Oryzias latipes: one gene and its partner. The protein of the gene in region 1 binds, or shares a complex with, the protein of each later gene. Links are inferred from orthologs where the notes say so. Each region holds a gene or a part of one and is shown in the gene's direction. Other genes may lie near its edges.

Evidence for each region. Proteins that work in one complex are often made in the same cells at the same time.
Region 2: the proteins of galr1 (region 1) and gal are in contact, whole or in part, in a cryo-EM structure (PDB 7WQ3), measured with the Homo sapiens proteins. The link is inferred for Oryzias latipes from reciprocal best matches to the Homo sapiens genes GALR1 and GAL. Residues at the interface, in NP_001471.2 of Homo sapiens: Glu32, Gln92, Thr94, Val95, Tyr96, Leu98, Pro99, Thr100, His112, Gln174, Phe177, Arg180, Gln184, Phe186, Cys187, Trp188, Glu189, Gln190, Ile266, His267, Ala270, Phe275, Leu277, Ser281, Phe282, Arg285; in NP_057057.2 of Homo sapiens: Gly33, Trp34, Leu36, Asn37, Ser38, Gly40, Tyr41, Leu42, Leu43, Gly44, Pro45, Val48.

Annotation. Positions count from the first base shown.
Region 1 is NC_019874.2:2,339,199-2,343,306, forward strand, and holds the start of galr1 (galanin receptor type 1), read left to right. Parts: upstream 1-1,304; 5' UTR 1,305-1,824; coding exon 1,825-2,490; intron 2,491-2,598; coding exon 2,599-2,664; intron 2,665-3,225; coding exon of another isoform or gene 3,226-3,375; exon of another isoform or gene 3,376-3,391; intron 3,392-4,108. UniProt on the Homo sapiens protein: Receptor for the hormone galanin. The activity of this receptor is mediated by G proteins that inhibit adenylate cyclase activity.
Region 2 is NC_019864.2:4,848,330-4,852,598, reverse strand, and holds the start of gal (galanin peptides), read left to right. Parts: upstream 1-1,468; 5' UTR 1,469-1,570; intron 1,571-1,651; coding exon 1,652-1,732; intron 1,733-4,269. UniProt on the Homo sapiens protein: Endocrine hormone of the central and peripheral nervous systems that binds and activates the G protein-coupled receptors GALR1, GALR2, and GALR3.

The DNA of each region.
Region 1 (4,108 bases):
TCCTTGCAGTCAGTGACTGCTGCTGCGGGCCATAATAAACTGTTTAGTGGAAGATCATTGAAGCTTCTCGGCGTGGCAGACAGAAACTCCATATAAAAATGCCTCCAGCTATTTTACAAATAGTATCACAAACAAGAATGTAAGCAGTCAAGGGTTTGAAATACAGATCTGATGAGCCTGCGGCTTGTGCTTTTCTGAAATCATCTTAGATTCTGACACATTTACCACCTAGAGGGTGTTCCTCAATTACCCTGATGATGTAAAAGGTTTTCCTGAATAAGTCTCCAAAATATTATTGCTTCTTTATTACAGTGTATGGTATGCTCCTCAAAGACTGCTGTTCTGTGGATTCAAACAGAAAACAATTTCTATTTAATGAACAGTTTGATTTGATTTTGTTGACAAAAGGTGGTCTTCTGCATGAATCTGTAAAGAAATATAGGTAAGATGTACATTTTAAAATAGCTTTGACCAGTAAAAATAATTTAGACTCTTTAAAAGTCCCACTCCGATCATCTTTTGACCTATTTTCAAAGCGTTCCCATGGGTCTTTTAGATATGATTAAGCCATTATTAGCCAAATCCAAAAACCTGTGTTGTTTTTAGGACATAGTTTCTGCAAGGCAGCAATAATTCAGTAGAAATACACCTCTAAATTGTGGGACTGTTGGTGAGGATTAGGCCACCCCCACTTCCCATCATCCATCTGTTTACACTCTCTCCCAGTAGCTTACAGCCTTGCACAAATCTCCAGTGGTGTAACAAAAATGGCAAACGACGCGATATAGGAGCTATTCAGCTGTACAGTTTAGATCCAGATGCCAGCTTGGATGAGCAAAACAAAGACGTAAGTGGATCTATTTGTCTGACAGTGGAGGCATCAGAATGAAGTGAAGCGAGGAGCTTATGACCTGCCATGTATTCTGTCACACCATAAGCTTTTCCAAACTGATTCTTTTTGTCCGCTCCTGATTCACAGCGTTTTTAACAAAGAAATACTCAAAAATACAATTTTGATATGAATTTTTTTACATGTCCTCCATCATCAGAAAAATTCCATAAGAATATTTTAGAAAGACAATTTTAATTGGAGTTGGTCTTCAAAGGGTTTTCACGTCATGCCCAGAGGTTTGAAAAGACGTTTTTATTCTTCAGTGATCTATTTTTTTCTCTCGCAGTCTCATTTCTTTGCGAAAACACTTTAATAGGAAGAGAGACAAATCAGATAATTTGTTTTGATGTAGCAATCTTTACAGTCTAAGCATAAAATCAAATCTTTATCTCACTAAAGCCCGTCTCTCTTTAAACATATTGCCGGCTTTTAAACTATACAAGGATAGACTCAGAGCCGCAATGAGTACAAAGCTTTCGTGTTTTTCCTTCTCTTTCTCTCTTTTTTCTATTTCTTTGGAGGTGGTACGAACTCTGACGTTGATGGCCCAGCCCAGCCCGCAATTTATGTGAGAGAAGGTCCAGACGCAGAGAAGTGGGCAGCAGTCTGGATGAGGGCGCACGGAGCGCAGACGCGTCTTTTGCGCACCGGAGATCCTCCAACATCCACAGCGCGAATCTCGATTTATGCTGAGCAGCAGACAGGTTAGATTTGGGGGAATTCGTTCATTCACATTCTAGTTGTATGTTATTGACAAAAATAAAGCGGGAATGTGACATAGAATCTCAAATCAATCCAAAACAGCGCTCGCGCGTTGACGAAGGCAGATTAAACCGTTTGAGTGACATCTCTGCGTCTTGAGGCGCCGCTGGATCTCTGCCCTGCCGATTTGGTGATCGTGTAAAGTTTGTCCAAGGAGGACTGAATCTATCATGAACTTGTCGGAGTCTCTGTGGCTCCTCGAGGAGCCGCTGAACCTGAGCGCAATGGAAAACGAGGAGCGGAAACTCTTATTTGGCATCGGCACGGATAATTTCATCTCGCTGCTGGTGTTCGGGCTCATCTTCACGCTCGGCGTCCTGGGCAACTCCGTGGTCATCACCGTTCTGGCCCGGAGCAAACCCGGCAAGCCGCGGGGCACCACCAACATCTTCATCCTGAACCTGAGCATCGCAGACCTGTCCTACCTGCTCTTCTGCATCCCCTTCCAGTCCACCGTCTACATCCTGCCGTCGTGGGTCCTGGGCGCATTCATTTGCAAGTTCATCCACTATTTTTTCACCGTCTCCATGCTGGTGAGCATCTTCACCCTCTCTGCCATGTCCGTGGACCGCTACATCGCCATCGTGCACTCCAGAAAGTCGTCCTCCATTCGGGTGGCGAAGTACGCCCTGATCGGGGTCGTGGTGATCTGGATCATCTCTCTGGTCATGGCAGCGCCCATCATGCACTACCAGAACATTTTTCACAGCTCGGACAACTACACTTTCTGCTGGGAAGTGTGGCCAGATCAGACCCAGAAAAAGATCTACGTGGTGTGCACCTTTGTTTTTGGTTATGTTTTGCCTCTGCTGCTGATTTCCTTCTGTTACGCAAAGGTAAGAGGAACAATCCAAAATAAAAAGTGGCCATGGGTCACCAAACCGACGTTGACATCACTGATGATCTAACGGATGTGCATCTCATCTCTCTTTTCTTGGTTACAGGTGTTAAATCACTTACATAAAAAACTCAGAAATATGTCCAAAAAGTCAGAAGCCTCAAAGAAAAAGGTAGGTGTCATTTATTTTTTTAGGTGTCATTTTGCTCCAACTTCTATTTTTCTTTTACAAAGATTCTACAGAACATGATGGATTGATGTTACCTGTTGAACTGATGAGTTATGACTGTGTAATAACCGAGTCTCATCTCAGGGAAGGAAAAGATTTATTTCAGTAATCTCACTGAGATCCAACTGACTACATTTTTATTTGATAATTAGCCTCTCCTGCACTGAATCCAATCTTATATTTTTGTAATTGTGATGAGGTGATGAGTGTCATTTTTAATTCGTTTTTATGGCTTCCGCCTCATCCTTTCTACTGACATACAGTTTGATTTAGAAGAGGTGCATGTCCATCCAGTCGCATGGATGTCCTTAAGTAGCCAGAAATAACTCCATCCTCTGCAGGCTGAGCTCCAATATTACTGCTTCAGTCGTTTCTGTTCGCTGCCTTTAGAGCAGCCTGTCCTCAAACTGGCATTTGTAGCCGTCACTTGTCTCGACGGAGGTCATTCACTCCACTAATCAGTGGTCCTCTTGATTGCTGTCCTGCCTGTGTGCCTCTTTGCAGCCGTTGCTCTTCATGGCTGGTCAGGTTCTTGGCTGCTTCGCGCCACACAGCGAGGACCTTGACGTTAGGGCAGCAGGCAGAGCAGGACGGTCAGGCGCTCTCTCCCACTGCACAGGGAAAGGAAAGAGGGAATGCCGCATGAATCTGTGACAACGAGCTGCTGCATGTATGTGGTCAGTGCATGCAGGCAGTGTGTGTGCGCATGCTTTGGGATTGTGAAAACGGTTGTTGTTAGGAAAATGCATCATTTCCATAAAGAGTGACATCTGCTCCAGTTTTTTTGTGTTGAAAGTTGTGTCTGTAGACTGCAACAGCTCTGAATGATTACTTGGGGAGATCCAATTATGCAAATGATCATTAAATTGAACCTGAAATCAGACAAAAAAAACTGATCCCGTTGAAAACTGGGTTAAAATTAATCAGTGCCTCCTGAAGGATGATTTTTCTCTCAGTTTTGGGACTTGCATTAGTTTGCTGTAGTCTTTGTTTTTTCAGCAAGATGCCAATCATAGAGATGTAAATTTGTTTTCAGCCTGGACAGAAGAGATGGTAATATTTTGGAATGTTGGCTTTTAGGGTTTGATTAAGAGCTGTTTTTCAATCCTTTGTGCGTCACAATCTTCACCAGGTGTGACTGGGATGGGTATCGTTAAGGTTTTAACGGTACAGGGTTGCGGGGTGCGGGTGACGGCGACACCGCGACATCAGTGCGGTGATCAAAATCCCACACCGTCACAGCTCTAGTTTGTATCTTGTGGGCCACAAAAAAAGCGACTTCTCCAGTACCGATAGCAGAACCGCTGAGGTCAGATCTTAACGATACTGCGGTCTTGAAGAATGTTGCCTCGTTCAATTCCGGGGCTCGGTATCCATCCCTAGATGT
Region 2 (4,269 bases), on another chromosome or scaffold:
CTTTCAAAATAAAACAGGAAACTGAACTCAAATAGAACCAAAAACAAAAGAAAAAAACCCAAACCGTAACACTGGGATAGGCTCCAGCAGCCCCGTCACCCCAAAAGGGACGAAACGGAAGAAGACGAATGAATGATGATGATGAATTTAAACACGCGTACGGATCAGAGGATGCTCGATTGGCCGTTCTGCATGTCAATCAAGTCCCGTACTTCTCGGTGAGGATATGATTCAATTACGTATTTTTTTGTGTTATTTATCTTTGCTGGCCTGCAATCTAGCCTCATGTCCTTGAAGATCGACCGATCAAAGAGCAGCCAAAGAGCCAATCATAACAGATACCCAGCCCTAAGTCGCTCCAGCTCCCCCCCAAAAAAACACCTTACACACCACTAAAGCTCTAAATGGCCCTACAGTGGGAGCAATAAGGAGGAGCCGGCGGGGTTGGGGAAGAATCCGGCCTTTTTTCGTGACAAATCAGAGCAAAAAACAAAAGTTCTGCATTTATATTTTGTTCAGTGTATACAGTATCCACCAACAGAGAAGTGGAGAGGACGTGATGGTTACACATAAACGGACGGAGCTCCTCACCGGGTTAACAGAAAACGATAACAACTTTCATAAAGGAAAACAGGACAAAACCAGGAAGTAAAGTCCTCATTGTCCTGTTCTAGTGATGATTTGAATGTTGTGAGCTGAGTCTCTGCTAACTTCACTCATGTCTGCTACTCAGTGATGGAGACTCCGTTAACAAAACCTCATCAGGACAAAGACTGAGACAGATGGGGGGATGGGGGGGGGGGGCAAAACAATAAGCAAGGTGGTTAAATTCATGCAGGACATAAGATTCAGACAGGGACGAGGATCATAGACAAAAAAAGAAGTAGCGCCTTAAATTATTAAAATATGTTACAGTCTTTATGAAATTCAAAGTGAAAGATGCTAATCTATGATACCAGCAGGAAAAGAAACAGCATTTCTGCAGAAAAACATCAACTGTGAAGGACGAGGCTACAGGGACCAGAATGAGATCACCTGATCACCGTGCAGCACAGGGAACTGCTGAAGTACCTGACTGAGTAGGTGAGCCCAACCCCGAATTCAAACTACAAAAAACCAAAACCTAAACTTTCCTGAACGAACGAACAGCTGGAGAGGAGCTGCGGGTTTTGTGAAGGAGACCCCTCTCCAAACCTCTGCGAACCTTTAACTGGGTCATGACAGATGCAGAATCAGCCTGTCTGAACCCACAGAAGCTCCAGCCAACCGGACCACAGAGACCAGTGAGTCTGAGTGATGGTCCGGATCCTCTCCTGACCTTCATTGATGAATGAGCGCGGAACTGCGGACGAGGAGCGTTTGTCAAATTGAATTCGGGAGGTGGTGGGGGTGATGCGGTGACACCCGTGTTCGTGACCTGCCCGTCATGTCCGCAGGAGGGGGTTGGGGGCTGCTGACGCCAGCAGGTAGCGGCGGGGTCGCCCATAAAAGCCGGCCGGTGCGCGCGGAGCGTCCAAACCAGTTACCAGAGCGCACAGATTCTGCTGCAGCCATCTCTCCCGCTGAAAAGGTAAGGCGCTGCAGGCTGGCCGCTCCGCTCACTCACCCGCAGCCTGGCTCCAGCTCATCCGCTTCTTCTTGCGCTCCCCAGATGCACAAGTGCTTGGGGATCCTCTGCGCGTCGCTCATCTTCTGCGCGGCGCTGTCGGAGAGCATCGGGCTGGTTATCGCGGTAAGCAGCGCGCGCGCGTCACTCAGGGTCCCGGACGGAACCGGCAGGGTGTGGAAATGAAAGAAAGGGGCCAAAGACTGAGCAGAACAAGAGAAGATCAGGGAACATGCCAGCCTCTTAATAGTTTAGATGTGGTCAGTTAAAAAATGGAGAAAATTCATACAAAAAATATGTGAAAAAAAAAACAACAACTAAGGAACGTTAAAGAAAAGGAAGTGACTTCCTTCACCTCATTTCTAAGATACGTGAGGTGAGGCCGGGGCAGAACTGGAGTCTTTTGATGCTGAACGTGACTTTGTGGGTAAATGTTGGCTGTGCCACCTGGTGGCCTTTCCTGCTTTAATGACCTCTTCCAAAACGCGCATCCAACAACGCTTAACCTGAAAATCCGAGCGCATGCGCATGTTGGCCGCACAACAGGAATTTTCTTCACTTTTTGTGCTTGGTCGCACTTAAATACGTGAAAAAGATCCCCTGAAAGAACAGCTAGAGAGCAAAGGAGAACATTGCTCCAAACACACAGAAAGTTTGTTTTCCTTCTTCAGAACTAGAGATGGATTTATGGAATTTACTGTACTTTTTTTGTTTGGAACATTTCTTCCATAACTTCCTATTTTATTTGATGATTGTGTCCAATGACTGAATGGTTTCAATGAACATTACAAGATTGATTGATTGATTTCAAGCATTGTAGTCAAAGCAATAAAGATTTTACACAGATTTATGAAACTCATTACAGAAATGATGAAATGCATAGATAAAAAAAGAAAATAAAACAGAAAAAAAGACACATAAGTCACATTTGCTTAATTAAATACAGTGATCATTAACTAAAGTATAAGTAGAGCTTGATTTACTGCTTGAAAAGGAGCGGAGGAAGTGATCTTATGTAATCCCACCCCTACTGAGTTAATTCATTTTATAGTTTTAGTAATCTGGTTCTGATCCGATAGATTCTTTTGAAGTTACTAAATCCAGTTCTAATTAATGATTGATTATCTACAGAAAACGTTCATTCATGATTTCAGAAAACAGTAACGATAATCGTTATGTAATAATAATTGATTATCATTAGAACACATTAAACCAGTAATTATTGCTACACATGCAGATCAATAAAGAAAATCAATAGTTATTGATTGTAATTCAGACATCTCAGTAATCATTATTGCACATTAATACTCATTGGTTGTAATTAAAAGAACTTTGATTTTTTCACCACAATCAGGTTGACAAAAGTATTTGGAATTATTTAAACACCTGTTGATCCTTTACTCCTCTTATCTTTATATCATGAAGTTAACACATAAAAATGCATAAAACAATTCCTTTTTTTAGAATACCGAACTAAATTACATCAATTTAAGTTAGCCTCAATGAAATACATCATTCAATATATACCTATGTTTTAAAGGTTTTAAAGGCTGGCGCCAGTGTTAGTCATCGGAGCTGCCATCAGTGAGTGAATGGGACTGCCATATAAGTATACGCCATTTACCATTTAAAATGTATTTTCCAAATGATTTAAAGGTTTTTTTCTAGCTAACTTTTCTGAAGATGTTTTAAAGCACCAGTTACACATCCTGATGGTTATGTTACTTTATAAGGTCCATCTGTGAACACATGAAGGTCTGTCACTGACAATCAGACCTGCAGCTAAGTAAAGGTGGGTGAGACCACAAAGAGTTAAAAAGAAGCCGCAAAAACTTAAATCAACTCAAATACTATACATTTGTAGTTTGACACAAAGTGAAATTAAATATAGCATAAAAATGAAAAATGATAAAAATAAAGATGATTTCACTGAGAGTTGATTTTACAACGGCTTCAAGAGGGACTTTCCCCCAATAGAACTGGGTGGGAATGCTAATAAATGTCCCCCCCCTTCACCTACAGAGACCTTCAGGAGTTCTTTTGGGTCACGACCAGAGTGCAGGTGAATTTCACACCTCATGAACCAGGAGGACCATCAGAGGAAACTGGCTCTGGTTGAAGTAAAGCCGTCAGTGTGAATGCTCCAGGGGGGTTTGGCTTTAGCTAATCTGCTGAAAGGAAAAACAAGCTCAAATGGAAAGAATCAGGAAAATGTCGGGAGGAAGCAACGGTGATGGCTTCTCTCCCTGCTCTGACTGAACTCACTCCTGTGAGGCTGACTTTCAGCGTTTGGATGCTGATGATTGAAGAAGAACAGCTGCTTCTTACTGATGAACTTACTTTCATTATGAAACTGAAGCAAGTTGCAGAAGACGTGCGACAGCCTCGTTTGCTAAAAGAAGCCATGTGTTTGTTTATGCTGACCATCATCCAGACCCACCCGCCACACTCGGACACCAGCTTCAGATCAAACAAAGCTCACAATCACCCTCTGTTTCAGGATGAAGACATTTCTCTTCTAAACCACAACTGCTCTGCTGCAGAACTGAGAGTGATGCTGCTGGGAGAAAAGCCGTCCTTTTGATTAGCTTCAGATTCTGCAAATAATCCAGATTACTTGAATAATTGGTTAATTAAATCATGGACCATTTAACCACCAGAGT